Linked DNA regions of Saccharomyces cerevisiae S288C. The protein of the gene in region 1 interacts with the protein of each later gene in a biochemical or structural test. Each region holds a gene or a part of one and is shown on either strand. Other genes may lie near its edges. The genes, in order: TEM1, BFA1, BUB2 and CDC15.

What was found.
Region 2: the proteins of TEM1 (region 1) and BFA1 form a complex in vitro, tested with the Saccharomyces cerevisiae proteins (4 studies listed by BioGRID, with this or other methods).
Region 3: the proteins of TEM1 (region 1) and BUB2 form a complex in vitro, tested with the Saccharomyces cerevisiae proteins (4 studies listed by BioGRID, with this or other methods).
Region 4: the proteins of TEM1 (region 1) and CDC15 form a complex in vitro, tested with the Saccharomyces cerevisiae proteins (one study listed by BioGRID).

What each region holds. Positions count from the first base shown.
Region 1 is NC_001145.3:142,629-150,607, forward strand, and holds TEM1 (Ras family GTPase TEM1), read right to left. Parts: upstream 3,249-7,979; coding exon 2,511-3,248; downstream 1-2,510. Other genes in the region: ORC1 (origin recognition complex subunit 1), read left to right, coding at 1-2,326; 40S ribosomal protein eS1 RPS1B, read left to right, coding at 3,854-4,621; MFT1 (Mft1p), read right to left, coding at 4,877-6,055; DNA helicase PIF1, read right to left, coding at 6,325-7,979.
Region 2 is NC_001142.9:530,205-538,950, reverse strand, and holds BFA1 (Bfa1p), read right to left. Parts: upstream 4,925-8,746; coding exon 3,200-4,924; downstream 1-3,199. Other genes in the region: HIT1 (Hit1p), read right to left, coding at 1-179; KCH1 (Kch1p), read right to left, coding at 1,402-2,895; UV-damaged DNA-binding protein RAD7, read right to left, coding at 5,192-6,889; OSM1 (fumarate reductase), read right to left, coding at 7,585-8,746. UniProt on the Saccharomyces cerevisiae protein: Part of a checkpoint which monitors spindle integrity and prevents premature exit from mitosis. This cell-cycle arrest depends upon inhibition of the G-protein TEM1 by the BFA1/BUB2 complex.
Region 3 is NC_001145.3:385,601-390,988, forward strand, and holds BUB2 (Bub2p), read right to left. Parts: upstream 1,422-5,388; coding exon 501-1,421; downstream 1-500. Other genes in the region: STV1 (H(+)-transporting V0 sector ATPase subunit a), read left to right, coding at 1-375; ADP/ATP carrier protein AAC1, read right to left, coding at 1,715-2,644; ferroxidase FET3, read left to right, coding at 3,222-5,132. UniProt on the Saccharomyces cerevisiae protein: Part of a checkpoint which monitors spindle integrity and prevents premature exit from mitosis. This cell-cycle arrest depends upon inhibition of the GTP-binding protein TEM1 by the BFA1/BUB2 complex.
Region 4 is NC_001133.9:169,295-178,967, reverse strand, and holds CDC15 (serine/threonine protein kinase CDC15), read left to right. Parts: upstream 1-3,832; coding exon 3,833-6,757; downstream 6,758-9,673. Other genes in the region: seripauperin PAU7, read left to right, coding at 1,945-2,112; serine/threonine protein kinase KIN3, read left to right, coding at 7,265-8,572; ADE1 (phosphoribosylaminoimidazolesuccinocarboxamide synthase), read right to left, coding at 8,673-9,593. UniProt on the Saccharomyces cerevisiae protein: Protein kinase of the mitotic exit network (MEN) essential for late nuclear division in the mitotic cycle. Promotes mitotic exit by phosphorylating DBF2 and directly switching on DBF2 kinase activity.

The DNA.
Region 1 (7,979 bases):
ATTGCAGCTATTTAACTTTATCAGGGTTGCCAACGTAATGGATGGAAGCAAATGGGAAGTATTGAAAGGAAATGTCGATCCAGAAAGAGACTTTACAGTTCGTTATATTTGTGAGCCGACTGGGGAGAAATTTGTGGACATTAATATTGAGGATGTCAAAGCTTACATAAAGAAAGTGGAGCCAAGGGAAGCCCAGGAATATTTGAAAGATTTAACACTTCCATCAAAGAAGAAAGAGATCAAAAGAGGTCCTCAAAAGAAAGATAAGGCTACTCAAACGGCACAAATTTCAGACGCAGAAACAAGAGCTACAGATATAACGGATAATGAGGACGGTAATGAAGATGAATCATCTGATTATGAAAGTCCGTCAGATATCGACGTTAGCGAGGATATGGACAGCGGTGAAATATCCGCAGATGAGCTTGAGGAAGAAGAAGACGAAGAAGAAGACGAAGACGAAGAAGAGAAAGAAGCTAGGCATACAAATTCACCAAGGAAAAGAGGCCGTAAGATAAAACTAGGTAAAGATGATATTGACGCTTCTGTACAACCTCCCCCCAAAAAAAGAGGTCGTAAACCTAAAGATCCTAGTAAACCGCGTCAGATGCTATTGATATCTTCATGCCGTGCAAATAATACTCCTGTGATTAGGAAATTTACAAAAAAGAATGTTGCTAGGGCGAAAAAGAAATATACCCCGTTTTCGAAAAGATTTAAATCTATAGCTGCAATACCAGATTTAACTTCATTACCTGAATTTTACGGAAATTCTTCGGAATTGATGGCATCAAGGTTTGAAAACAAATTAAAAACAACCCAAAAGCATCAGATTGTAGAAACAATTTTTTCTAAAGTCAAAAAACAGTTGAACTCTTCGTATGTCAAAGAAGAAATATTGAAGTCTGCAAATTTCCAAGATTATTTACCGGCTAGGGAGAATGAATTCGCCTCAATTTATTTAAGTGCATATAGTGCCATTGAGTCCGACTCCGCTACTACTATATACGTGGCTGGTACGCCTGGTGTAGGGAAAACTTTAACCGTAAGGGAAGTCGTAAAGGAACTACTATCGTCTTCTGCACAACGAGAAATACCAGACTTTCTTTATGTGGAAATAAATGGATTGAAAATGGTAAAACCCACAGACTGTTACGAAACTTTATGGAACAAAGTGTCAGGAGAAAGGTTAACATGGGCAGCTTCAATGGAGTCACTAGAGTTTTACTTTAAAAGAGTTCCAAAAAATAAGAAGAAAACCATTGTAGTCTTGTTGGACGAACTCGATGCCATGGTAACGAAATCTCAAGATATTATGTACAATTTTTTCAATTGGACTACTTACGAAAATGCCAAACTTATTGTCATTGCAGTAGCCAATACAATGGACTTACCAGAACGTCAGCTAGGCAATAAGATTACTTCAAGAATTGGGTTTACCAGAATTATGTTCACTGGGTATACGCACGAAGAGCTAAAAAATATCATTGATTTAAGACTGAAGGGGTTGAACGACTCATTTTTCTATGTTGATACAAAAACTGGCAATGCTATTTTGATTGATGCGGCTGGAAACGACACTACAGTTAAGCAAACGTTGCCTGAAGACGTGAGGAAAGTTCGCTTAAGAATGAGTGCTGATGCCATTGAAATAGCTTCGAGAAAAGTAGCAAGTGTTAGTGGTGATGCAAGAAGAGCATTGAAGGTTTGTAAAAGAGCAGCTGAAATTGCTGAAAAACACTATATGGCTAAGCATGGTTATGGATATGATGGAAAGACGGTTATTGAAGATGAAAATGAGGAGCAAATATACGATGATGAAGACAAGGATCTTATTGAAAGTAACAAAGCCAAAGACGATAATGATGACGATGATGACAATGATGGGGTACAAACAGTTCACATCACGCACGTTATGAAAGCCTTAAACGAAACTTTAAATTCTCATGTAATTACGTTTATGACGCGACTTTCATTTACAGCAAAACTGTTTATTTATGCATTATTAAACTTGATGAAAAAGAACGGATCTCAAGAGCAAGAACTGGGCGATATTGTCGATGAAATCAAGTTACTTATTGAAGTAAATGGCAGTAATAAGTTTGTCATGGAGATAGCCAAAACATTGTTCCAACAGGGAAGTGATAATATTTCTGAACAATTGAGAATTATATCATGGGATTTCGTTCTCAATCAGTTACTTGACGCGGGAATATTGTTTAAACAAACTATGAAGAACGATAGAATATGTTGTGTCAAGCTAAATATATCAGTAGAAGAAGCCAAAAGAGCCATGAATGAGGATGAGACATTGAGAAATTTATAGATTCGGTTTTTATTATTCATGACCTAGCATACACATACATATACCTACATAGTAGCGCATTTATCCAAAACATACGATATTGTGGATGTACATACCTTCTATATCTCCTTAAAGCTATTGTGTAGCTTGATTTAAAATATGCTAACGCCAACTCTCACATGGTAGCAGGCGGGTATAGTTGTTTTCATGTATTAACGCCCGGCGATGGTGCCTTAGATGAGGGCGACGAGGAGGGCTTCCTGATATTATGGCTCTTTCTATCCTGACTTTTGTTATGATGTCGATGTTGCTGGCCACCTAGGTGCTTATATATCAAAAGAGGATCGCCGATTTCATTGATTTCTGGGATGGTTAATGTCAAATTAAAGATCTTTGCCAGTGCAATTTTGAAAATTTTTTGAATGTTTATAGATTTGGCAGTAGAGCAGAATATAAGAGGAGCATTCATGACCTGTGCATACTTCATACTCGTTCTCGAGATTTGTTCCTGATATTCCGGGTCTAAGTCTATTAGTAAATCGTACTTTGTGCCCACCAAAATAGGAATTGCCGAATCATTTAGCCCGTACGCCTGCCTATACCACTCCTTTATTGAACTCAACGTCTCTGGACGTGTCAGGTCAAACAGAAATATGATCACTGAAGACCCTACCGTCGCAATTGGGAGCATGTTGATGAATTCTCTTTGTCCGCCTAAATCCATTATAGAAAATATAATATCCGTGGAGCGTATGCTTACTTTTCTTTTCAAAAAGTTCACTCCCAGCGTCTGTGTGTATTCCTTATCGTATATGTTCTGTACGTACTTCACCATCAGCGATGTTTTCCCTACTTGTGCATCCCCTACTAATCCAACCTGAACTTCAACCTGATTTCGTACCGCAGGTATAGAATTGTTTGCTCCCGTGCTTGGTGTAGCCATCTTAGCTTAACTCAATTTAATTTCTACAGCAAAATCCAAACGTAATATCTATATTTTTCTCGAAAAACTGAGGACAAGAGCCAATCAATCATCTATAATCCAATTTATATTATTTTTTCCCTTCTGGGTTCTTTTCTTCCTTTTCTTGTTTACCTTTTTTGCTTTTTCATAAAATAATTTCTCTAGATTTGAAGACAGCATTTTTGTACATCCATACACCATACACCATACACCATAGCACCAGTACACTATATTTTTATGAATTTTACTAAGAATTATTCCTGCAGGAGCTCCACTGAAAAAAAAAGAGCAGCATGGATGTCCGGTAGAAGTGCTACTGAGTAAATGGGAAGGACGCGGTAGATCCAGTGTGGAATCAAGGTGGTGCCGGTGTGAAGCCGCCTCGGCCGGCTGGACTCTCCAGGCCGGAGTGATGATTGCCACGCTGAACGTAACACAGTTTCACAATACCAGTGTCCTCATTAGTGAGTTCCAATGTATAGTTAGTAGTGGTATTTTGATATATGTGAGTGGTAGCAGATTTGAACTTAGTTAGTTGTATTCGCCTTTGAGGAAACCAAGCAAAAAACCGATCTAGACTAATCATGGCTGTTGGTAAGAATAAGAGACTATCCAGAGGTAAGAAGGGTTTGAAGAAGAAGGTCGTTGACCCATTTACCAGAAAGGAATGGTTCGATATTAAAGCCCCATCCACTTTTGAAAACAGAAATGTTGGTAAGACTTTAGTTAACAAGTCCACTGGTTTGAAGAATGCTTCCGATGCTTTGAAGGGTAGAGTTGTCGAAGTTTGTTTGGCTGACTTGCAAGGTTCTGAAGACCATTCTTTCAGAAAGGTCAAGTTGAGAGTCGATGAAGTTCAAGGTAAGAACTTGTTGACCAACTTCCACGGTATGGACTTCACTACCGACAAATTGAGATCAATGGTCAGAAAATGGCAAACTTTGATCGAAGCTAATGTTACCGTTAAGACTTCCGATGATTACGTTTTGAGAATCTTTGCTATTGCCTTCACCAGAAAGCAAGCTAACCAAGTTAAGAGACACTCTTACGCTCAATCTTCCCACATCAGAGCTATCAGAAAAGTTATTTCTGAAATCTTGACCAGAGAAGTTCAAAACTCTACTTTGGCTCAATTGACCTCCAAATTGATTCCAGAAGTTATCAACAAGGAAATCGAAAATGCTACCAAGGACATCTTCCCACTACAAAACATCCACGTTAGAAAGGTTAAGTTATTGAAACAACCAAAGTTCGACGTTGGTGCTTTGATGGCTTTGCATGGTGAAGGTTCCGGTGAAGAAAAGGGTAAGAAGGTTTCTGGTTTCAAGGATGAAGTCTTGGAAACTGTGTAAACAAAATAAATATAAATTATAAGATTTGACATGTACACAATTTATTAATATGTTTTCTCTTTATTATTAATATAATTAATTATTACTAAAAAAAAGAAGGTGACGCACCATACAGAACTTGCTCTTTTGTCCAATACTGTCTTTTTATGGTTGTTATTTTTTACGTTACCGATTTCGGTTTCTATTGAACTGTAATAACTTGCCTATGTGTCTATATGCCTTTTCTATTTAGTAAGAGCTATGCATTATACGTGGTCATTTTACTTCTTCAACAGAGGAAGACGCACTAAAATCGCTTGTAGTGCCTCCAAGTTTCCTGCTTGAGTGATCGCTATCTGCCTCCTCTGCGTCATTAACCGCATCTGGCTCTTCTATCACTCCAGTTTCTTTGTCTGTTTCCTCATTATTACCCTGGCGACTATTATCTTCTTGTTGACTGCTTTCCCCATCAACTTCATTATCCTCTTTTATATCCTCAACGTCTACTTCCATATCATCTTCCTCTTCATTTTCTTCATCCTCCTGATCGTCATATTCATGATCGCTTTCCTCTTTTTCGTCCACATTTTCTATAGTATTCACTTCCACCATTGATCTCTGCCTTTTAAACCTCTCTTTTCTTTCCTCATCTTCATCCGATTCATAATCTTCATCAATGTTATCTCCTTCTGCCTCATTGAGCAGGCCATCTCTCTTCAGAAGTTCTTCTTTGAATATTGATGTGATCTTGCCAAATATTTCTGCATCTCTTAGCCACTTCTCTTTGTAAGACGATACCTCCTGCCTTACGTTTTCTATATCCGATTTCATTGAGGCGTTGATACTTTCTAACTCTTTTGGGCCCTTAGAGAAATCGTCATAAATACGATATCTCTCCTCTGAACTATCCTTTTTCAGGCCCGGATCAACTAGTTTGAGATAATTCTTTTCAATTAAAAACTTGACCAGATCAGTGCCAAGTTCTTTCTCCCATTCCGCACGTGTCACCACAAGGCTGGTACGGCCTTCTGACAAGCCTTCCACCTCTCTGTTAATTACTTGGACAGAATCGTAAAGACCTTGTAGTTTTCCAATACGTAAAAGCAACTTGCTATGGATGCTCTTTATATCAGGCAATTTATCTTTGAGATTTTCCAGCTTGGCCAATGTCTCCTGTTGGCATGTTTCCCAATTTTCGTCTGCTACTTTCTTTGTGTCAATTGATGACTGCAGATCCAAAAATCGAAGATGAGCACTTTCTTTTAGTTGGGAGATATTTTGCTCAGTAAGTTTTTCAATCTTGCTATCATCATTGGATAATGTGCCATTTATAATGCTTCCTGTCAGCTTGGTTACTTTTCCTAAGATGTCTAAATATTTATTGAATGGAGTATCTACTTCACTGTAGTGCACTTTGGTTCTAACTTGGTCTATTTGTTTTTGTGACAGAGGCATTGTGAGTTAGTCTCCTTTGGCTTTAGTTCTTTGATTCCTTTTTTACAGCCAGTTGTTGTATTTTACTTTAATTTAGATAATGTTTCACTTTTTTCTATCGAAGGAGGTTCACCAAAATAATAGAATGAACAAAGCGCAAGAAAGAAAGATAAAAAGGTGTCAAAGAACCAATATCAAAATAAATACAGATAAAACCGCGGAACTATGTATCTCGGCCTTGATTATTATAGCAGTTTGTATTCTATATAACTATGTGTATTAATATGTACTTATTCTAAGATGTGGTCTTCGGTATCCTGACCACGAGGTTCGTCGGAAACCAATGAATGAACTTGATTACTATTAGACTCTTTTTTCAACTGAAATCTCTTCCTACTGTGTCTTTGCAACATCGCTGCGATACCATTATTAGATTGTGTGGTCGCTGATATGGGTGCTGGAGAATTTGACTTTGACTTGGATTTAGCCTTATATTTAGGGCCTGGTGCGTAGTCTAACTTCCTTTTTTTCACTTGCTCATCTGCCTCAAGTTGCTTATAGGCACTTTCGGCTGAAGATAAAGTAAGATAAAAATCAATTACCTTTTGATGTGCTTTGATCCTAGTTCTGTCAAAATTTAACACCTGTAGTCCTTCTCTTGAAACAGCTCTAGAAAGGGCAACGTACGCCTGACCCTTTTCGAATACTCTACGTAAATCCACTTTAACTTTTGGAAGTGTCTGACCCTGAGATTTGTGAATGGATAGTGACCAGGCAAGCATTAGCGGTAATTGAACCCTTGATACCAGTGGCTTTTCATTTTCGTCTTCTATCGCCCAATCCTCCGGCTCGACAAGCACCATCCTCGTACTCATATCAGAAGCTTTGAATCTCACGAGAGGTAACCTTCGTTTTCCTGCAGAGTTTTGATGTATGGTCTGCATCAGTTGTTCCTTGCGTTTTATATTTTCCAGCACAACTTCGTCATCTGTCTTGACTCTCTTCATGAAGTCAAAAACTGAGGAATCTAGGGGAGAGACCGGCTCACCTATATCACTCTTAGCAAATCCCTCCTTCACTGAAGATTTGCGACTAGCTACCGCACTTTCTTCCCCATCACTTTGCTCCCTCTCCATTGCAGCTTTTAGTTTTGAAGGGTTTTCTGCCCAAGTCTCGAGTTTTTCTGGAGGCATAGATGGATCGTTTGTTAGCGCCTCATAGCAAAAATATGTTTCTGGATCCATGAATTCGATGACTTTACCAAGGGATCCATTAACTAATGTTGCGTCTAGATTTTTTACCATCATAACCTGAGCGCCAACTTTCAAATGTAATTCCTTTGGAGCTAAAAAATTTTGTAACAGCCTTTCCTTTAACTCTTCGTCTTCCAAAGCACCGCCATCGATTGCATTAAAAATATGCACCTGGCCTGGCAATTTACTTAGCCTTGAATTATTGGCCCTTTCTACTTCCATTCTGGTACTATAAAGTTCCGCGGGAATAATTTCATCGTCTGGCAATGGTCTAGAAAGCTTCTTGAACTCTCTTTCTGTTTCATCATCAATATTGCCTAGTCTCATCCGATTCAACATGTCAATGAACTTAACATCGCCTCGCTGTCTAAAAACCTTTTGTAGCATAATCGTCATCTTTACACCTTCTTTCCAAGCCTTGGATTCGAAAGCAAACTTAGTTGGTCTATTAGGATCTTTTGATACTGGCGGTAACTGGAAAAAATCGCCACAGAAGATGAGTTGAATTCCACCGAAGGGTTGATGATTTTTCCGTATTTTTCTAGCTATGAAATCGAGTTTATCAAGCAGTTCTGCGTCTAACATTGATATTTCATCGACAACCAAAGCACCAATATTTTCCCAGCGCCTTAGGTGCTTTCGAGACCTACGAACTTTTTTATAGAGTTTATCCGCATCACCTTTTCCTAATC
Region 2 (8,746 bases), on another chromosome or scaffold:
TTATTAACAACTTCCACATTAGCTTCTGTACCAGCCCTGGGTTGTTCGCTTTCCTTATGAACATGCTTTGCAGCATCTTTATAGCATTTCAAGGAGCAATATCGTACGCCACATTTAGGACATTTATATTTACCATCAACTCCGCGACATATGCCACATTTAACTGCACTAGATACCATTTTTATTCTTAGAGTTTTTTATATAATATGAACCTTCAACTAGTTATTACCACTGTGGCACTCTTTCTGCGGTAAGATTATCTCATCGCAAGGTAATATCGTCTGAATTTTTTCTATAAAGAAACGAAAAAAAAAAAATAATCAACGTTCCGTACGGGACTCGAACCCGCAGTCTTCTCCTTAGGAGGGAGACGCGTTACCATTACGCCAACGGAACCAACTTGGTTGAACTCTAAGAAATATGAGGTACCTAAGTTGCATAGTAATATTATTACGAAGCACTTCAAATTGAATGAATAAACTTCGTGCAGAAAACTTACACGATGGAAATCAATATTGTAGAGAATGTGGATTTTGATGTAATTGTTGGGATTCCATTTTTAATAAGGCAATAATATTAGGTATGTAGATATACTAGAAGTTCTCCTCGAGGATTTAGGAATCCATAAAAGGGAATCTGCAATTCTACACAATTCTATAAATATTATTATCATCATTTTATATGTTAATATTCATTGATCCTATTACATTATCAATCCTTGCGTTTCAGCTTCCACTAATTTAGATGACTATTTCTCATCATTTGCGTCATCTTCTAACACCGTATATGATAATATACTAGTAACGTAAATACTAGTTAGTAGATGATAGTTGATTTTTATTCCAACAAATATCCGCCTCATTTTCTACTTTCGCTTAAGCTGCTGTAATGAACCCCTAAGGTAGTACTCATTTAGTAGTATTCATGTTACTAGTATATTATCACATACTGTGTATGAAGATGACATAATATTGAGAAACAAATATCAAATCTATTGGAAGCTGAAATGCAAGGATTGATAAAATAATAGGATAATATGACAAAATATCAAAGAAGGAATAAAAAAAAGATGTTATTATGTTGAACTAGTGACACCCTTTTGTGGATTCCTACATACCCAGAGAGAACTCCTAGTATATTCTGTATACCTAATATTAAGTCTTTACCAACAATGGAATCTCAGCAACTATAAAAAATTAACCTATCTCTTACAAGCAAATGTTAAAAGGGGTTTTCAAAGAAACTTTCATGGCTGTTATGTTTGTGCTATAACCGGTATCAATCCAATATATGAAAATAGTGTTACAAAAAAAGTATTATTTTTATCAGAAACATACTAACGGCTGTTTCTAATCACGTCTATCTAATTCATGAAATATGCAAAGGGCTTTTGCCAGCCTATTAAGTATAATTATATGTACGATCTTCATCTTCCAGCAAACCCTTCCTCGGAAGATCAGGCTCCCTGAAGTACGCTTTCATTGGTGTATAAATCCTTCCATTATCATTCGAGTCAGCTTTTGAATTAATCGAACTTTTTGTCTGTAAAGGAGGTGGTCTAGGTCTACTACTGTTGCTATTAAAATTACGGATGTTGTTTGTTGTATTTGGCATAGAATCTAATGGCCCGTGAAACTCCATAGAAGTTGTAGATTTTAATTGTCCAGCAGAGTGTATTTTGTTGAAAATGTCAGAAGAAGACAAATCCTCATATTTTGGAGTATTTACGCTTCTGCTTTGTATTTTTGCTTTCTTTATATCATTACTTTCATAGCTGTTGATATATGGTGAATCTAGAATCGCAGAGAATCTAGTGGTATATTGTGGATTGCCATTGTCAACGAACGATTCCATTGTTTCCGTTTTCTTCATTGTGGGAATGGGCCCACATACATCCTGACTTTTGTATTCGGGTCTTCTCTCTATTAGCTCAATCATAGAATCATTATTAGAAGCATATGACGTATCATTAAAAGATGTTTCAATTTTATTTTCAACTTCTTTAAAATCGTCAAAAGTCTGAGATTCGAGAAGACCTGTCTTATAAATCGTGTCATCATTTTCCTTTTTCCTTTGTCTTTCAACAAGTTCATCAACATTTTCGCTGACGGTAACACAAATGTACTCACGCAACCCGCTATATTCCTGATCATTGATTATTTTATAATAAACAAAAATCGAGCAAATGACAGCAAGCAGAAACTTGAAGACAAATAATGCCCAGATTATAAAGGAAAATAGCATCAGCGACAATATCACTGCTTCTTCATGATTGGTCTGGCCAATGTTCTTTATTTTGTTGATCAAACCGGTAAATGATTCCAGATCGCCTAGATCCTCGTTTTTATTTACTGTTACGAGAACTGACCACAGCGTAAGACCATTAATAACTTGCCTTGGGGTATCCGTGAAGATTAATCTAATACAATCTTTCAGTTGAAAAAAAGTAAAAAATGTCATTTTCTGTCGAAAACCCTTTCGTTCGATCATATTATAAACACAAAACTTGGAATAATTGAGCACTGAATTTAGGTTTCTGGAAAAATTGTTGACATAAGTCAAAGAGATATTTCCCGTTTTGTAAATCCTCATTCCCGCTATAGCCTCCCATATCAATAGCACAATCGATGCTAAAATACAACCGCTAAACAACCATTTGGATATTTTAAAGGGTAAGTATGGTTTGATGATGTTGTTTGACCAGGAGTTGAATGCCAGCAATTTGATACATGTGTAAATGTCAGAAACAAAAAGGGCGAGTTTTAATCCATTCCACCCAACTACACCTATTATGTAATTTAAAACAGTTTTGAACTTGTGGTTTCGAAATAATTCAATGTTTAAATCGGCGAAAGTCTTAGAATTAATGGAGTACTTCCAATCATGGTTAAACATTTTTGATTTTCTGTTCCTGCTAGTCAAATATTCATGAAATTACCAAAGTGTTTGCTAAACAAACCATAAAGATCTGTTTTAATAATCATCAAGGGCTCTTTTGTTTGAAATGTTAATGTGTCCCTCATGGTCTATTTTCATTTGAAACATCTATTCGAATTTTCTGCAACATTTCTTTTTCTGTCAGACGCGAAATGTCGGCGAAAAGTTGACACGATTCAAGGTTCTATCTAATTTTGGAATGTAAGAGAAATGAATGTACTCAAGATAACGGTAAAGAAACAGTTATAAGAAGGCTAAAGGGCTAATCTTTTGTCGAATTGATTACCATGTTCCTGATTTCATACATATAGGATTTTCTCTTGCTATTGACCGTACTTTCATCCATGATTGTTTCCTCATCAACACTGATAATGGTCTCATCTCGGGGTATAAACCATGAGGCTAACTTTTTACACCACCTGTTCTCCTCGTGGTAAAATTTTTCCAATGCTCTTGAACTCAAATGGAAAGTAGAGCTTATTTCTGGAGTTTCTGTTGTACCGTTAAGTGTCCTCATTGAATGGTATTTACGGAGTCTTGCTTGAGCAGCCGTACTTTGATAAACGCCATCATTGTCATTTGAAACAAATGGCGTATTAACTTGGCTTTTGGAACGCAAAAATGGTGAGGAGCTACGTTTTTTCATACTTTTGCCAACTGGTGGTAAGTTTATCTCAGGAATGCCTGCAAAAGGGTCTGCTTCTTCCTCTGAAACACTAACCCATCTTAAATTTTGTTCATCTAAAATCATGTTCCCGATGACCTTTTGATTTCTCGAAGTGGCTCTTGCATGCTGTAGATCAGAATATTTTTGCTTCTTAGAATCTGCATCTCGTTGTAGCTTGTTTTTTATCAATAAAGCTTTCCTGTTTGCCGTGTCTACATCACTAAATTTGCTTAAGACGTTTTCATTTCCTTCCCACTTCATAGTTTTCGGGTTATATATCATAGAACCTTTCTTCATTGGAGTATTATGATCAATTTGCTGTTTTATTGTTTTGATTTTAGCTGGACCATTGAGTTGTACATTTTGATTAGAACAGTGTCTTACTGATCGTTTTTCTTTAAAAGAGTCCAGTTCCTGCTGGGTATTCCAATCTCGTTGTCGCCTATGAAGACCTGGAGTTAATAATTCGTCATGCTTTACTATATCATATTGTGCAGGTGATATTTTTAATGGCAAAGATGAGGATGACTTCTTTAAGAAACGCGGATGGTCGGCACTTTCTTTATCGTTCGAAGAAATCGTTTCATCAATTGCTTCACCCTCTAATTCTTCAAATCCTGTCAGAAAGTCACCTTCATCATCTGAACTGAATTTCGCCAAAATTGTGTCCTGCGTATCGTTATCAATCTTGTAATTAAACTCTCGTTGATCTTCTCTTTCTCGTTCTTCGTCCTCTTCTTCTTCTCTGATAGCTGGATTAACTAAAGCTAAGTTAGGCATAGATTTCTTAAATCTTACAGAATTACCAGACCTTAAGTTTCTTGAAGTGACGCTATTTGATAGTTTTCTTTTTGGTTTCAATTCCATCATTGATCTAGGTTGCTTTAGCCTTGGTTTATCTTCCAAACTCAGTTTTCTATCAAACTCTTCTGCGAAAATGTCGTTTTTGAAAGGGCCAGTTCGACATCCATTTCTCAAATGAAAATTTGTTTTAATAGCATCGTCAAAATCATCCTTTTTATTTTGGAATTCCTGGAAGTCATTTAGAAATTCATCATCCTGGTCTACCTCCATGTCCTGATCATCGTCTGCTTGCTTATTAGACCAAAACGCGCTGGTACTATTGGAAAATACCGTGCCAGTGTCAGAAGTACCTACCGAGGATGGAGGCGGTATATAAGTTGATGTACTCAATGGTGGCACGTTTTCTTCCAAAGTTAATGTTTCATGGGATTGAAAGCGAGGTAGAGTTGTATTCAGTTCTTCAAAAGAGGTTTCTGGCTCATCTAAACCGTTTAACGTGAGAGGCCTAATTGACATAGCATACAAAACTTTCAACTGCTACAAAAGTTTTCGAACTTTTTTCTTTACGTCAAACTTCTCGTTTTTTTCCTTTTATCTGCGCTGAATACATAAGTTTACACTTTTTTTTTTACTATTATTGTTTGTTTATTATTCGCGAGATGCCATAAAATCCCTTCAATAGAAAATAAAGGCAACATTTGACGATCTGAGTATAATAGGAATAAAAACATTAGTCAATTTTCCGTTTTCTATCTAATACACGTTTTATATGTCTTTATTTTATTATATACTGTCACTCTGTCTCCCTATCAACGTAAGTCCAGGCCTCATTGTGGCCTTTTCAGTAACCAAATTGTCTCCGAAAACATCAATTACAGTTAAATTCGGATTTTGCTCACCCAACATTTGAATCACCGAGTCATCAACACAACGTACAAAACCAAGATCAAGATACGTCAGATTAGGACAGGCTAACGCCACAAATGCCTCCTTAGTTAGCTCTTTTAATGAATTGAGATTTAAGCTTCTCAGACTATCTCTTGCTCCGTTAAGCAATAGCTCTATAATTGCCATATCGCCCAATTGTAGACATCTTCTAAAGCTGCATTCAATCAAATTATTCAGTTCTACTTTGCTGAAAAAGTACGACAGTGAATCTGTAGTGATCTGATCTGATTCTTCCAAGCTCAATACCTCCAATGGACATTTCTCAGGAATGAATGCAGTCAGACCATTGATTATCATTGAATCTGTCAAGTCAATACAGCCATTCAAAACCAATTTACGTAACGTGCGCCCGATTTGACCTAGCAGATTTATGATGATCTCATCGTTAACATCCTCTTCATTGAATGGATATTCAATACAGAGACTGTGAAATTCGTCGTTGACTAGGTACTGCGGTAATAAAGCGTAATTTGATATAGAATCTAGTCTGGATAACCCTAAGGATACCAAGGTAGAACCGCAGTTGATCAATAAATTAGATAATGATTTGTCGGTGAAGCGGTGCGTATTAGAAATGTGGAACTCTTCTAATCTACCTTTCATTATTACAAAGAACTTCTCCCATGTGTCCTCGTTGATCAGAAATGGTCCATCTAAATTCAGTGATTTCAAGTTCGGAAGCTTTTCAGCAATGTAAAGCAATGATTCATGGTTCAACTGCCCACACATTTGTAGGGATAATTCGGTTAGGTGTGGCGAAAAAATGGCTAGCGTTTTGTAACCATCAAATGAAATTTTAGAACAATCGCTGAAAGTTAACCTTTTTAGATCTGTCTTCAAGAAAAGTTGCAGAGTATGATCATTCAGGGCCCTATTCTTCGATAGTGCTTTTGCCAAATTATTCAAATTAGCGGTTGATACGCCACCAAGGACATCTCTCAATTTGTTAAATACCAACTTTGATGATTCATCAGCCTCTTTTTGCCACTTGGATATATTTTCACTAATTTTCGTAATACAAAGACTTTGTAAGCTGGATACTTTGTTGACGCGTCTATCCAATAGGTCAGCTGCTCTTTTACGCTTTCTGCGACGATTTTGGATAATTTTTGCAGTATTTTGCCTTTTTTTAGTCAATGATTCCCGGTCATTAGCCGAACTTAAACTGACTGGCGTGTCAGAAATGTGGCTAGTTTCATATTCTTCTTCATCACTATCAGCAGGGACTAATTTCATCCTGGCATCGTAGGAAACCTGAGCTCTTTCTGTCTCGGTACCACTACCTGTTCCAATTTCATCAATTTCTTCATCTTCAACTACTCGAGATATCTCGGCAGTAAAGCTATCATCCTCCGCTTTACCTTTTTTTTCGTCTGTTGCATCTTCTTGCTTCTTCGACTGTCGCTGGTACCATTTTTGTTTGATATTTTCAGCACTGATCCCTTCTTCTCTTAAAAATTGAGTCAAGGCAGAATTTGGTCCCTTAACTTCATTTTCTCCACCTCTTTTTGGTCGGTTTCTACTGCGATACATTTCTTCCCCTCTCGTGATTTCTAGATAATAGCTTATACAAAGACACTTCGGAGTTACTCTAGGACTATTTCAGTTTTTTTTCACTAACTTCGTCCCAATCCTTTATTCCATTTTTGCTTCCATAAATAAGTTTTCTTATTTTCCAGAAAAAAAGAAAAGAAACTGCGCAAGCCCGGAATCGAACCGGGGGCCCAACGATGGCAACGTTGGATTTTACCACTAAACCACTTGCGCTCACTAATTGTTAAACGTGTCAATTATGTGTACAGTTACAAAATAATGAAGCACAAGAGACCCTACTATTACGTTAACATAATTTACTGCGCAAGAAGATAATATGAATCGTGTAGAAAAGTCATTCAGTTTGTTAGAAGAGGGAACATTGACATTGATAATGTAAAAGGATAGGCAATGGTGACACTTCAACGCAAAGAAGAAATTGCAGTATTATCGTGTAGAATCATGCTCTCTCTTGTAGATTCCTATATCGTCGGGGAGAAACCTCTACCATATTCTGTAAACCTAATACTATAGCTTTTCCCAACAAGATATATTCTTCATTTGGAACTCCAAAGAAAAGAAAAAATCGTATATCGTTACGGAAAGAAATAGCAAACAGTATATCCTATCATGTCGCATTAATTATTGAAATGTAAAGTACGTTGCAAAAATATCTTTTATTTCCCTATAAATTCTCAGTACAATTTTGCTATGTTATCCGCAGCTGTCTTTCCAAAGACAACACACTCTAACAAACTAGATCCACCCAATCTGTTGGCTCCATGAACACCACCCGAAACTTCACCAGCAGCAAATATCCCATTAGATAGAACGCTTTCCGAATTTTTCTTAATTACCTGAGATTTCTCATTAATTTTCACACCACCCATTGTGAAATGAACAACTGGTGTAACTTCCCCAACATAAACAGTTGATTCAGTCGAAATATCTTTATCAAAGGCATTGATAATCAATGGCCTATCAAACGTATCCTTAGTATTAACATCGGAATAGCTCTTCAGTTCAGTTACCAGTTCAGAAGCTGTAGTTTGTAGGTCATATTGTCGGATCAGATCGTTGATTGACACTTTTTTGATTAAGTTTTTGGACATATAAAAGTTTATGTTATTCGTATAGTTCTCGTAGACTTTGTCGCTCATTACCAAAAGTGCTCTATTATCATTTTTCGGACATTTAGACTGTATTTCCATGGTTACTGTATCTCTGGTGCTCAATTCATTTGTAAACCTTCTTCCAGTGGTGGGATGCAATAAGATGCCGCCTAAACCCCTCAATGCCTCTGCAGCCAAAAACTTCCAGTTATTTTCACGGTCATTTGGATCAATGAAGCCGGTAGGGTGTACCTGCACTTGATCCATATCAATCAATTCGGCACCCAACTTTGAAAGGATTTTTTGACCATCACCTGTAGTCTGTTTGCCATTAGTAGTTGGCAAGTGAATCAAATTTGGTGAGTACTCTTTCAACATTTCCTTAGAGTAACCAAATCCACCTGAGCAAAACACGACATGGTGTGACTTCATGATTTTACGGTTTCCGTTCTCGTCCATATATACTACACCAGTAACATGACCTTGATTATCAAGCTCGATATCCACTACTTCACTGTTTAGCATAATCTGCACGAGATTGGAATCTTTGGAAGAGATATCCTTTAGTTTTTTTGATAACGCTTGCACGATTTCAAAACCTGGTGGTAATTTGCCAGAAGATCTATGGGTCCTTGGAACAGAGTGACCGCCCAATTGCGCAAGGAGGTCTAATTTCAAATCGAATTCTGTTTGCAACCACCTGATAGCACTCTTGGATTCCTTAGTCAACTTATCCATCAGTGAT
Region 3 (5,388 bases), 240 kb from region 1:
AATTTCGGCGATGTCATGATTCATCAGGTAATCCATACTATTGAATTCTGTTTAAATTGTATCTCTCATACAGCATCATATCTACGTCTTTGGGCACTATCGTTGGCGCATGCGCAATTATCTAGTGTTTTATGGGATATGACAATTTCAAACGCTTTCAGTTCTAAAAACTCAGGGTCGCCTTTGGCTGTCATGAAGGTGGTTTTCTTATTTGCTATGTGGTTTGTTTTAACCGTTTGTATCCTAGTTTTCATGGAAGGTACTTCCGCAATGTTGCATGCGCTACGTTTGCATTGGGTGGAGGCAATGTCCAAATTTTTTGAAGGTGAAGGATATGCGTACGAGCCATTTTCATTTCGTGCAATAATAGAATAATAACCTTAAATTACTGTAAATTTTCTCATCTACCCACTGCTTTTTTCGTTTTATTTTTTTTTACACATACAGACATATAAACGTTGTAGAATTAAACGATAAAATATAATATTTCTTCACATAGTTTACGGTATATATATGTCTGGGTCGGTCAAGTGGTCTACCAATAGGTCATAAATTTGAGCAGGGATCTTAGCGATGAACCCGACGCCCAGCCGAATGATCTCGTCAGCATCAAAATCCGGAAACTGTCGTAGTAAATTAACAGGGGAATCCGATTTGAAAACCTTGGATCTCATTTTAACTAGGAATGCCACCACAAAGAGAATATTCATATGGAATCCATATGCAAACATGAAATCCCACAGTTTAATGACCTGATCAAGCGGTTTATTGCAGCTGGATAACGTGAGTATGGAAGGCATACCATAAATCTCTGCTGTAAGTAAATTGTCCGATAGAAATTTACTCAGCTTTGGATCAATGATTCTGAGAGAAATATCTAGTAGTTTGGCGCCGTTCTGGGCGCCGTTTAGGTTCTTAGTTAGATACGTCGGTATCATTTCATAACAAAGCTTAGTGAAAAGTTGATACGCCATAGGTTCAGAAGGACATGAGTAAAGCAGAGGAGCTAATAACACGTTCATGCCCTGCACATATGTGCTCACAGGAATGCGACCAAAACGAGTCTTTTGTCTTCTTTGTTGTGTTTGCCAAGCAAAGCACGACAGACACCGGATGAGGGCATCCTCTGAGACTCTATTTCTAAAGTTTGGATCCGTCTGAAAAGTTCTGGATGTGTCGTTCTTGATTTTTTGGTAAATGGTTGTGGAAGGTGGGCCCAGTTTCAAGAGCGCAAGGTACCGTTGTGTAGACGCCTCCATAGAAGTTTGAGAGAGCACCGTCCACACGTAACATCGCGTGCGCTGCTGCTGTTTATCTTCAGATATGGGAAGCCCTTCACTGAGTATGAGGTAGCGAAGTTGAGAGAGTGAGGAATGCAGTAGCAGGGGAGGATTTGATATCAGATCTTCAATTGAGGTCATGCAAAAGTTAACAAGTTTAAAAGTCTGTTGTTTCTTTTACCTTTACGTCGTTACTATTATTACTATTATTATCATTTTTTTTTTTTTTTTTTTCAATGTTTAGCTTGGCGTACGTAAACGGTTCCCTTCCGCACGGCGTTTACTGAATTGTCAGGACATAAATTCAAAGAAGAAAGAAGACCTCCAGTGTCATTATAGCATAAGACAGGTATGTAGCAAGAATGAATATGTAAATAAATAGCAAGAATATGTAGAATTTTTAGATTTTATTCGTTTGTTGTTTTCTTTTTTTTTCACTTGAATTTTTTGCCAAACATTATGAGTTGCAACTGATCGTACAATGAGATGACACCAGCTGCAGCGACTCCTCTAAATATGTTGGCACCACAGCCCTTGAACAAGGAATACGCGCCCTCTTTCTGAACAATCTTTCTCAAACAGTCCAGAGCACCGTCGTACTTGATGGTCTGGCCCGAAGTCATCATCATCCTTCTTCTTACCGTATCCAAGGGATACGACGCAGTGGAAGCACCCATGGTAATGACCCAACCTAATAGGAAAGAGGCAACAAAGGACCCCTCTAGAGCCCCCGTCAACAGCACAGGCTTGAAAGAATCGTACAAGCCAAAGTACAGACCTCTGTAGACAATGATACCCAGAACTGAGGGCACAAACCCACGGTACAGACCCAACAACCCGTCCGTTTTCAGTGTCTTCTTATACACGTCTAGCAATCCATTAAACTGTCTTTGCGAGGTTGACTTAGAACCCCTAGCATCCGCTGCAAGCCGCGTCCTTGCGTAGTCCAAGGAATATACAAATAGAAGCGACAAACCACCAGCCGCTCCACCAGAGAAAAGATTTCCAGCAAACCACTTGGCATACCCATCGCGCTCTCTGTCGTAACTCAACAACGACTTAATTTTGTCTTTGAAGGCAAAATTCAGCGCCTGCGTGGGGAAATACCGGAGAACATTGGCGGTGTTACCCCTCCAGAACGACACAATACCTTCATGAGTCGCAGTCCTCTTGAAGCAATCTAAAATTCCCTTGTACCGTGTATCCAACGAGCCCTGTTTAAGCATCTCTTCTTGATTCTGCATCAACAGTTTCACCCGTTCAATGGGAGCGGCACCCGTCTTCGCAATGGCAGCAGAAACGCCGCCCATAAGGAAGTCCACACCGAAGTGTGACTGCTGAGTCTGTGTTTCTGTGTGAGACATTACTGCTGTAAAAAGGAAAAATAGAAAAGAATAACAGATACGAGAATCTGTGCTGCCTTCTTTGCGATAATGCCTTGGCTTGCCTATTTCACGGTTACAGGAATAATAACATGTTCATACCGTTTCAGGACCAATAAATGGTCTTCTGCGAGAGAAAAAGGACACTCTCCGTCCGACAGAAATAAGCTTTACTTTCCGGGTGCGAATCAGCCCGTTGCGCCTGGGGTGGTCCCTACAGTACGCTGAGTCGCCGATAAAGACCCTCCGCCTAGAGCTAGGCGAGGCTGACTTAGGCAGGCCCAACAGGCAAGGCCCATCTTCAAAAGTGCACCCATTTGCAGGTGCTCTTATTCTCGCCAATTGCGACAGAAAATGAAGGATGCACTCAAACAGTCGATCCTTCGAGGGAGTATGCCAAGGCCTCGTGCATGTAGTGCGATTATATATATATATATATATATATATATATGTATGTAAGCAGGCCATGCCCTATAGCTCTTGTTCTATAAGCGATGGATAGGCATAGGAAACGAAGAGGACCCCAGTGTAAGGAAGAGTAGCAAAAAATTAGAACTAGATGACTAACGCTTTGCTCTCTATAGCCGTTTTGCTTTTCTCGATGCTCTCGCTAGCACAAGCGGAGACGCACACGTTTAATTGGACCACTGGCTGGGACTACAGGAACGTTGATGGGCTAAAGAGCCGTCCCGTGATCACCTGTAATGGCCAGTTCCCATGGCCAGATATAACGGTCAACAAAGGTGACCGTGTGCAGATTTACTTGACCAACGGAATGAACAACACCAATACTTCTATGCATTTCCACGGTCTCTTCCAAAACGGAACCGCCTCTATGGACGGTGTGCCCTTCTTGACGCAATGTCCAATTGCGCCAGGCAGTACTATGCTTTACAATTTCACGGTGGACTACAATGTAGGCACCTACTGGTACCATTCACACACGGACGGTCAATATGAAGACGGGATGAAAGGTCTTTTCATCATCAAGGATGATAGCTTCCCCTACGATTACGATGAGGAACTTTCTTTATCGCTTAGTGAGTGGTACCACGACTTGGTCACGGACTTGACGAAGTCGTTCATGAGTGTTTATAATCCGACAGGTGCTGAGCCCATCCCACAGAACTTGATTGTTAACAACACGATGAATCTGACATGGGAAGTCCAGCCCGATACGACGTATCTTTTGAGAATTGTCAACGTGGGTGGGTTCGTTTCGCAGTACTTTTGGATCGAGGACCACGAAATGACCGTGGTCGAAATCGACGGTATCACTACCGAGAAGAACGTAACGGATATGCTTTACATCACTGTCGCTCAGAGATATACAGTCCTGGTTCACACTAAAAACGACACGGACAAAAATTTCGCCATCATGCAGAAATTTGATGACACCATGTTGGATGTCATTCCAAGTGATTTACAGCTGAATGCAACCTCTTATATGGTCTACAACAAAACCGCTGCGCTGCCCACACAAAATTACGTGGATTCAATTGATAACTTCTTGGACGATTTCTACTTGCAACCGTACGAGAAAGAAGCCATCTATGGCGAGCCAGATCATGTGATTACCGTTGACGTTGTTATGGATAACTTGAAAAACGGTGTGAATTACGCCTTCTTCAATAATATCACCTATACTGCACCAAAAGTTCCTACTTTGATGACCGTTTTGTCTTCAGGTGATCAAGCAAACAACTCCGAAATCTACGGTTCAAACACGCACACTTTCATCCTAGAGAAGGATGAAATCGTGGAGATTGTGCTAAATAACCAGGACACAGGTACCCATCCTTTCCATTTACATGGTCACGCTTTCCAAACCATCCAGAGAGATCGTACATATGATGATGCCCTAGGTGAAGTTCCTCACAGTTTCGATCCGGACAACCACCCTGCCTTCCCAGAATACCCAATGAGAAGAGATACTTTATACGTTAGACCACAATCCAATTTCGTCATCAGGTTTAAAGCCGATAACCCAGGTGTTTGGTTCTTCCATTGTCATATCGAATGGCATTTGTTGCAAGGTTTGGGTCTTGTTCTCGTGGAGGATCCTTTTGGTATCCAAGATGCTCATTCTCAACAACTCAGTGAAAACCACTTAGAAGTTTGCCAGAGTTGCTCTGTGGCCACTGAAGGTAACGCCGCTGCCAATACACTGGATTTAACTGATTTAACTGGTGAAAATGTTCAGCATGCCTTCATTCCTACCGGTTTTACCAAAAAAGGTATTATTGCCATGACATTCTCCTGCTTTGCCGGTATTCTTGGTATTATCACAATTGCAATTTATGGTATGATGGATATGGAAGATGCGACCGAAAAGGTTATTCGAGACTTGCACGTGGACCCTGAAGTCTTGCTAAATGAGGTTGATGAAAATGAAGAGCGTCAGGTAAACGAAGATCGTCATTCCACTGAAAAGCATCAATTTTTAACTAAAGCCAAACGGTTCTTCTAATAAAGGAAGATCATGTATTTTGCGGTTAACCTGTTTTTTTTTTTTCGGTCAAGGGTTCCAAATGCATTTGCATGTAAAGTGAATGCCCTTGTCTTACTTAATATTACATAGACATATACTTAATAATCTACCACGTTTCAAATTCAATAATGCATGCTTCTTGGCGGTTTTTGACATGAGATCCTCATCTGTCACGAGGCTGATGTGCATACTTTTACTTTTAATCGATGACATGATCAGTTTCTTTTGAACAAAA
Region 4 (9,673 bases), on another chromosome or scaffold:
AAGACGCAGTTTTCTATTAAATCTGTGCGTTTGAGTAACTTAACTGACTATAATATCGCAATCTTAACATCATTAAACAATGTAAAAGAGGTCATACGCTATAAGAAGTTGATTTGATCCCCCGTGGATTTTGAAAAATGTCAAGATCAGCATATTGACCCATGTTTTTCCGCTCAATCCAGTCTATCAATCATTTTTCAACAAGGATAACCATAACATTCACCCACCATGCTTTGGTTCATAAGATATACGGGGAGATCAGCAACTCTTCAACTTATTGAACATGTTGAGAGCAGGATTAAATAATCAATGTCCTGTGATTGCAACATCTATCATGCCTGACGTTTCTCGAACGATACAATCTACAATTTAATGAGCCATTTTAGCATATTAACGAGGGCTGCATGAGGATCGAATGGACAAAAGTGTTTTCAGGCATGGGAGAATGGGATGCTTATAGAGGAGTTTAACCATGAAATTAAATGATTCTCCAGCAAGAAAAAAAAAACTCCTGACTCAGTTCATGTGGCGGGAAATTTCTCTCATTGTCTCCCCCTGCAGCGCTACTAATCTTAAAGGTAGTGGTGGCTTCGACATTATATCGTTGGTTCAGGTTGTCCGATCACTAATGATCTGTTACTTTATTGCTATGTTATGTGTCAAAAGGTGATATCCCCATTTTTACTGATCGCAGTAATATTTTAACCTGCCATGGTTAAATTGTTTATTGTCATTGAGTTGAGCACTTTTTCATTGCACTGTAGTTGTTGCGTATTTCAGACTTACTCTTATAGTGACGCTAACAGGAGGTCTGGCTCTTAATACAAGGACGTCGTAATATTCTGTTCACCGGACTCGAAAGCAAGAAGGAAAAAAGCACATTGTAGCCTTTTCAAAAACCTATCTTTTGGTACTAATTTATGGCGGCCCATACAGAGAGCTACCCTAAGAAATAGTTCGCATTCGTATATGAACTTCGGCTTTGAATATTGCGGATTCGTGCACAATACAAGACTTCTGTCGTTCCATGTCATCTATTGCGCGATTATTTTTTCACCAATTCCTTTCATTTCTAGTGGTTTCAAGGCGCAAGATTAATCTTAGATTTTACCTCCATCAAAAGCTCGGTAATTGGCACGTCATTTTACTATATGGCCTCAACAACATCGCTATACAGATTTGGGCGCCCTACTTAGCGAGACTTCCTACATTTGGAAATTACCCTAAAGGCATATTCTCTTCATGTAATAGCTCGCACAATGTAACCCGATTCAATTGATGCCCCAGTCGTCATTTATGTACAAGCATATCTACGCTGGCTCTGAGACTTGTGTTGTCCAAACAAGAACCCCCATCATATCTAGCGTGAGTATCAAATGGTTGGCAATAGTTTGTGTGGTCTGATTATTTACGTACAGCTCCCCTTTTTGTGTGCATATTCCTGCAGATGCGACTCTAAGAGCTCACACTTAATTTTTCATTGTTTCTAATTTGGGAAAAGTCCGATTTCCCTCCTACTAACCGTTTAGTGCCAAGGGTGAGATGGCCCTTGAACGAGGGCCCAAAATAAATTTGGCTTTGGTTCTATTTCTTGGCCAAAACTGCAGCTGCAGCCCTATAGGCACTTTTCCTGTAGAGAACATTCTTGTGCTATGGAACATATGAAAGGATGGGGCATAAAAAAACGGCTTCCTATACGAAGTATAGCATCGTTCAAGAACAACCCGTCCCCATAGTAATAATGACTTAGTCGCTAAGTGGAATGTGGAAGGCATGAGTGTGAGATGGGCGACCAGTAAGAGCCCATGTGTGCAGATGTAGTTGTTCAAAGTTTCATATAAATACAGCGGCTTGATCAGCTTTGTTTGAGACATTTCTCTGTTCTTTTCCTTCCAGTTAAGCCTATATCATCACTAAGCAATAACCCAAAAAACAACAAATACAATGGTCAAATTAACTTCAATCGCTGCCGGTGTCGCCGCCATTGCTGCTGGTGCCTCCGCCGCAGCAACCACTACATTATCTCAATCTGACGAAAGAGTTAATTTGGTTGAATTAGGTGTTTATGTTTCCGATATCAGAGCTCATTTGGCTGAATACTACTCTTTCTAAGCTGCTCACCCAACTGAAACTTATCCAGTTGAAATTGCAGAAGCTGTTTTCAACTACGGTGATTTCACCACCATGTTGACTGGTATTCCCGCCGACCAAGTTACCAGAGTTATCACTGGTGTTCCATGGTACTCCAGCAGATTAAAGCCAGCTATCTCTAGTGCTCTATCCGTAGACGGTATCTACACTATCGCAAACTAGAGTCCCTGCTTTACGAATGAAACCTGTACAGGTATGAGAGGTTACGAAAAAAAATGATAAATGAAAAAAAAAAAGCTTAATAATATGAAATTAATAGTATGAATAGTTAGGCGCATGTATATAAATATAAATTTTTGTATATATGTATTATTAATATTATAAATTTCTTATTATTAAACCATCCTTTACGGAAATAACGGCCTATTCCCTTAGTATTTTGTTGTAGCTCGTGGAGTTATCCATTTTAAATGGATCTTGGGATAATTTTTACTGCTTCCCTCGTACTGGGAGCTTAATACACGTTCGTCTTGTTATCATCATAAATATGTGTTTATTATTCTCGCCTGGAAGGAAATCTTCAGTATAAATTCGTGAGGAATTTAGAATATAAATAATTCAATCATAAGAAAACATAAAAAGATCAAGTAAATAATAGAGGCATACAAGCATAACCAAATAGTACTATAAACAATTTTAAATTACACGTAAGAGATAATGGGTTATAAAGTATGTTTTTTTAAGCCATTACTGCAGCGTTCTTTATCATTATTTGAGTTCGAATGTGGAAAATGACGACTGAAATTTATAAGATAAAATATTCGAACTATATAGAAGAAAATTTTACACTCTTCGCCTTTGAAAAACATGAGTGAATGTCCTTGATCGTTATTTGGCCTTCTGAAACTGTCCATATGGGTTATTTTGAGTTCCTTATAAAGGCTTGGCGCATTATCGAATATCGTTTAGTAAAATTTATGATCCACTTGCATCGGCATGGGCATGAGCAGTACTCATTACAAAATCCAAATCAGTGATATTTACAGTAGTCACAAATTACTGTTATTTTTTATCCATTTTTGTAGTTTTTGTACAAATATACTATTGGAAATAGAAAAAAATTCCTTTGAAAGGATCAATTTTAAGTGGTAAATAGAATGAACAAGCCCAGGACAATGGATTCAGAAGGGGCCTTATCGTGTCTCATAGATATTTTTCTTCTCGGTAACCTTTCAGTAATTTCTTGAGCACGAACTCGAAGCGTTTCATCAGGTATTTCATAACTATGCATGATTTTTGATGGCTTTGCATCATATTAGAAGAAAATTTTGCAGCTGAAGAGCTCTAATACGGCTTTTCTGTGGTCGTAAAGACAAGGCTGTTCATAACGCTTGTTGCCATTATGTAGCTTTGCACATCTCATATCGGTAAGGATGTCGTTTGTCATCTAGCGGCGAACTACTGTAATGTAATAATGTCCTCTGGCGTCGTGTATGGAAAAGAGGCATAATCAAAATTGGGCCTATCAACTCATTAGCACTCTATGCTATACTGTAGTGCTCTGTGCGGACTTTGCTGTGCCATTATAATCCTTTCCACCTTGCGATGGTCTTTCCGCTTTTCTTGCTGTTATTTTTGTATACGGGAGATCTGCCTCACAAAAGGTATATCTTCTACTTGGAGGCTCGAGGAAGGACAAAACACACATAAGCACTACCCATTTTCCTGGTAAGACTATACCATGAACAGTATGGCCGATACCGATAGAGTCAACTTGACTCCCATCCAGAGGGCATCTGAGAAATCCGTGCAATACCACTTGAAGCAGGTCATTGGGAGGGGTTCTTACGGGGTAGTTTACAAAGCCATTAATAAACATACTGACCAAGTCGTGGCAATAAAGGAGGTCGTGTACGAAAATGATGAGGAACTTAATGACATTATGGCAGAAATTAGCTTGTTAAAAAATTTAAACCATAACAATATTGTTAAATACCACGGCTTCATACGAAAAAGCTATGAATTGTATATCCTCCTCGAATACTGCGCTAATGGTTCTTTGAGGAGGCTCATTTCAAGGAGCTCTACCGGATTAAGTGAAAATGAATCGAAAACCTATGTGACACAGACACTATTGGGGCTGAAATATTTACACGGTGAAGGAGTCATCCACAGGGACATCAAGGCGGCTAACATCCTGCTGAGTGCTGATAACACTGTCAAACTTGCTGATTTTGGCGTTTCCACTATTGTGAACTCCAGCGCCTTAACGCTAGCGGGCACACTCAATTGGATGGCTCCAGAGATCCTGGGCAACAGGGGAGCTTCTACGCTCAGCGACATTTGGTCTCTAGGTGCCACTGTAGTTGAAATGCTCACAAAGAATCCACCCTACCACAATTTGACAGACGCCAATATCTACTACGCTGTTGAAAATGATACCTACTACCCACCTAGCTCTTTCTCTGAGCCACTAAAGGATTTCTTATCTAAATGCTTTGTGAAAAACATGTACAAGAGGCCGACAGCCGACCAGTTACTCAAGCATGTGTGGATCAACTCTACCGAAAATGTGAAGGTCGACAAGCTCAACAAGTTCAAGGAGGACTTTACCGACGCTGATTATCATTGGGATGCCGATTTTCAAGAAGAGAAACTAAATATATCACCCTCTAAATTCAGTCTTGCAGCGGCTCCCGCTGCCTGGGCAGAAAACAATCAAGAACTAGATTTAATGCCCCCCACTGAAAGTCAATTGCTGAGCCAATTGAAGAGTTCATCTAAGCCTTTGACGGACTTGCATGTGCTTTTCAGTGTTTGCTCCCTCGAGAACATCGCTGATACAATTATCGAGTGTCTGTCGCGCACAACTGTTGATAAACGATTAATAACTGCATTTGGCTCCATTTTTGTTTACGATACCCAGCATAACCACTCTAGGTTGCGACTGAAATTCATCGCTATGGGAGGAATTCCACTGATCATTAAATTCGAACATTTAGCCAAAGAGTTCGTCATCGACTACCCTCAGACTTTAATTGAATGTGGAATAATGTATCCTCCGAATTTTGCATCGCTGAAAACCCCAAAGTATATTTTAGAACTCGTCTATAGGTTCTACGATTTAACATCCACAGCCTTCTGGTGTCGCTGGTGTTTCAAACACCTCGATATATCACTCCTTCTGAATAACATCCATGAAAGAAGAGCCCAATCCATACTACTAAAGCTATCGTCATATGCACCATGGTCTTTTGAGAAAATTTTGCCCTCTTTAATTGACTCTAAGCTAAAAAAGAAAATTTTAATCAGTCCTCAAATTACTTACGTAGTCTTCAAATCAATAAACTATATGATAACCACGAATGACGATAAAATACACAAGTCCGCTATTCCTTCTTCTTCCTCTCTACCGTTATCCTCCTCACCCACGAGGAACTCACCAGTGAATTCGGTACAGTCTCCATCAAGGTCCCCTGTTCATTCTTTGATGGCAACGCGTCCCTCTTCTCCAATGCGACACAAGAGCATTTCAAACTTTCCCCATCTGACCATATCTTCAAAATCAAGACTACTAATTGAATTACCGGAGGGTTTCTTTACCTGGCTAACATCTTTTTTTGTTGACATGGCCCAAATCAAAGATTTATCTGTTTTAAAGTACTTCACCAAGCTTTGTTACCTTACAGTACATATAAACAGCACTTTTTTAAATGATCTGCTTGACAACGATGCTTTTTTTGCTTTTATCCGGAATATTGATACCATCATTCCCTTTATCGACGACGCAAAGACAGCAGCTTTCATTTGGAAACAAATCACTGCTATATGCGTTGAAATGAGTTTGGATATGGACCAAATGAGTGCTTCTTTATTTTCTACAGCTATGAATTTCATCAGAAAAAAGAATAACACCTCCATAAGTGGACTGGAGATCATACTGAACTGCTTGCATTTTACGTTACGCAATGTAAATGATGATGTGGCTCCTACAGTGGGCTCATCAGAGTCTCATAGTGTTTTCCTCATAAAGGTCAACAATGACGCTGCTATTGAATTACCGATTGATCAATTAGTTGACCTGTTTTATGCATTGAATGACGATGACGTTAACCTCAGTAAACTAATTAGCATTTTCACGAAGATATGCTCATTGCCCGGTTTTGAAAACCTTACAATTAATATCATATTTCACCCGAACTTTTATGAAAAGATTGTTTCTTTCTTTGATACCTATTTCAACAGTTTACTTATTCAAATCGATCTATTGAAATTCATAAAGCTAATATTCTCAAAATCGTTATTGAAGCTATATGACTACACAGGACAGCCGGATCCTATAAAGCAAACCGAACCAAATCGTCGTAATAAGGCCACTGTTTTCAAACTTCGTGCCATTTTAGTACAAATAACGGAGTTTTTAAACAACAACTGGAACAAGGATGTCCCAAAAAGGAATTCAAATCAAGTTGGGGGGGACTCAGTTTTGATCTGTCAGCTATGTGAGGATATCCGTTCATTATCAAAAAAAGGAAGCCTGCAAAAAGTTTCAAGCGTCACTGCAGCAATTGGTAGTTCTCCAACAAAAGATGAGCGTAGTAATTTGCGATCCTCCAAAGATAAAAGTGACGGCTTTTCCGTCCCCATTACAACATTTCAAACATAATGTAGGAATTGCATGTGCATACATACATATATAGAGAAATAATACAGCATTACATTAACACTATATATAGAATTGTGAACCTTCCAATACTGAAAACGCATCTGTTTGGAAAAGAGATCAGAAAAGTTTTTGAATTTAAAGAGGCCAGTAATGATAAAAAAGCATATACATATATATGCTTTTTTTCTTTTCTTTTTTTTTTCAATTGGGGATTAAATGTATGAACGACTCAAAGTGCATTTTGTTAAATGTTTCTAGCTATAGATCAATAAATCTGAAATACGATATCTGACATGATTGCAGTGGCACAGTCTTCCGATAGGTTACAGCCAAGTTTTTTTTTTAAGGTTTCTGAATTTTTTCATTACGTTTCCTAATTAGGTTAAACGTAAATAAAAGCGACTTTTCAAAAGAATATCAAATCATATAACATGAAAAGAGCAAGATTCACAATACTAATTTCAATGAGAGTGCTATTTGATAATTGAATCAATTCTCTGTGTGAGTATGCATAGACGACAGTTTTTCCAAGAATACCGTAGTCCTCAGCAGCAGCAGGGACACCCACCAAGGTCAGAATACCAAGTTCTCGAAGAAATTGGGAGAGGTTCATTTGGGTCTGTACGAAAAGTCATCCATATACCTACCAAGAAACTTTTGGTTAGAAAGGATATCAAATATGGCCATATGAATAGCAAAGAGAGACAACAGCTGATCGCTGAATGTAGCATTCTATCGCAGTTGAAGCATGAAAATATTGTAGAATTTTATAACTGGGACTTCGATGAACAAAAAGAAGTGTTATACCTTTATATGGAATATTGTTCCAGGGGTGATTTATCCCAGATGATTAAGCACTACAAACAGGAGCATAAATATATACCAGAAAAAATTGTGTGGGGTATCCTGGCCCAATTATTGACTGCGCTCTATAAATGTCATTATGGTGTTGAATTGCCAACTTTGACCACAATATATGACCGGATGAAACCACCGGTAAAAGGCAAAAACATCGTTATCCATCGTGATCTGAAACCAGGAAATATATTCTTAAGCTATGATGATAGCGATTACAATATTAATGAACAAGTAGACGGTCACGAGGAAGTGAATAGTAATTATTACAGAGACCATAGAGTGAATTCAGGGAAAAGGGGGAGCCCTATGGACTATAGTCAAGTTGTGGTAAAGTTAGGTGATTTTGGGTTAGCCAAATCTCTGGAAACTAGTATTCAATTTGCCACAACATACGTCGGTACACCATATTACATGTCGCCTGAAGTGTTGATGGACCAACCATACTCCCCACTATCCGACATCTGGTCACTAGGTTGTGTTATTTTTGAGATGTGTTCGTTGCACCCCCCATTTCAGGCAAAAAATTATCTCGAGCTACAAACTAAGATTAAAAACGGGAAATGTGACACCGTCCCTGAGTATTACTCTAGAGGGCTTAATGCCATAATACATTCAATGATAGATGTGAACTTAAGAACCAGGCCTTCCACTTTTGAATTACTGCAAGATATTCAGATACGAACTGCAAGAAAGTCGTTGCAATTAGAGAGATTTGAAAGGAAGTTACTGGACTATGAAAATGAGCTGACAAACATTGAAAAAATCCTCGAGAAGCAAGCTATTGAATACGAAAGAGAACTGAGTCAGTTGAAGGAACAATTTACCCAGGCAGTGGAGGAGCGAGCCAGGGAAGTAATTAGCGGTAAGAAAGTTGGTAAGGTTCCAGAATCTATAAACGGATATTATGGTAAAAAATTTGCCAAACCTGCATACCACTGGCAAACAAGATATCGATAAAATTTGCTCTGAGAACATTTATACATTAATACATACGGGTATGTATGAATCATATTCAGTGAGGAGTTACACTGGCGACTTGTAGTATATGTAAATCACGTTAGTGAGACCATTTAGACCCTGTCAATGTTTCATAAGCCTCTATATATTTGGCCCTTGTCCTGTCGACAATGTCTTGGGGCATTTTGACGCCGTTAACACCGTTCAACTTATTAGCAGTAAGCCAGTCTCTTAAAAATTGCTTATCGTAAGAATCTTGGGATTCTCCTACCTTATAAGAGGCACCGTTCCAGAATCTAGAGGAGTCTGGCGTTAGCACCTCGTCCACTAGAATAATTTCATTGGTCTTTTCGTCAATACCGAATTCGAATTTAGTGTCTGCGATGATGATGCCCTTCTCCTTAGCATAATCTTTGCACTTGGAGTACAGTTTTACAGCCAGTTCTGCCACTCTACGTGACAAATCTTCACCCACCAGCTCAGCGGCCTGGGCAGGAGAGATGTTTTCGTCATGTTCACCTTGTTCAGCCTTGGTCGATGGGGTGAAGATTGGTTCTGGGAACTCTTGAGATTCTTTAAGTCCTTGAGGTTGTTTCAAACCATGCACAGTACCTGTTTTTACGTACTCTTTCCAAGCAGATCCGGTGATGTAGCCTCTGACAATTACTTCCAATGGAATTAGTTTATGTTTGTGAACCAATAGAGAGCGGTCTTCTAGTTGCGTTTTGTACTTTGGTTCGCTCAATTTTGCAGGTAGATAATCGAAAATAGTCTTACCTGGGGCGATGTCGACCAAATGATTACGAACATCGTTGGACAGGAACTTGAACCAGAACTCTGACAGTTTGGTCAATAGGATCCCCTTTTCAGGAATGCTGTTTTCCATAATAACGTCATATGCAGAGATACGATCCGTAGCAACAAACAGCAACGTACCAGCGTCTACCTCATATATGTCTCTAACTTTACCTCTGGCCACCAATGGCAATATACCGTCCAGTTCAGTCTTCGTAATTGACATTATCGTTAATATTTCGTATGTGTATTCTTTGTAAGCAATGCTTATGATTCGATTGTTCTTAATAGTACCAACTGCAAAAG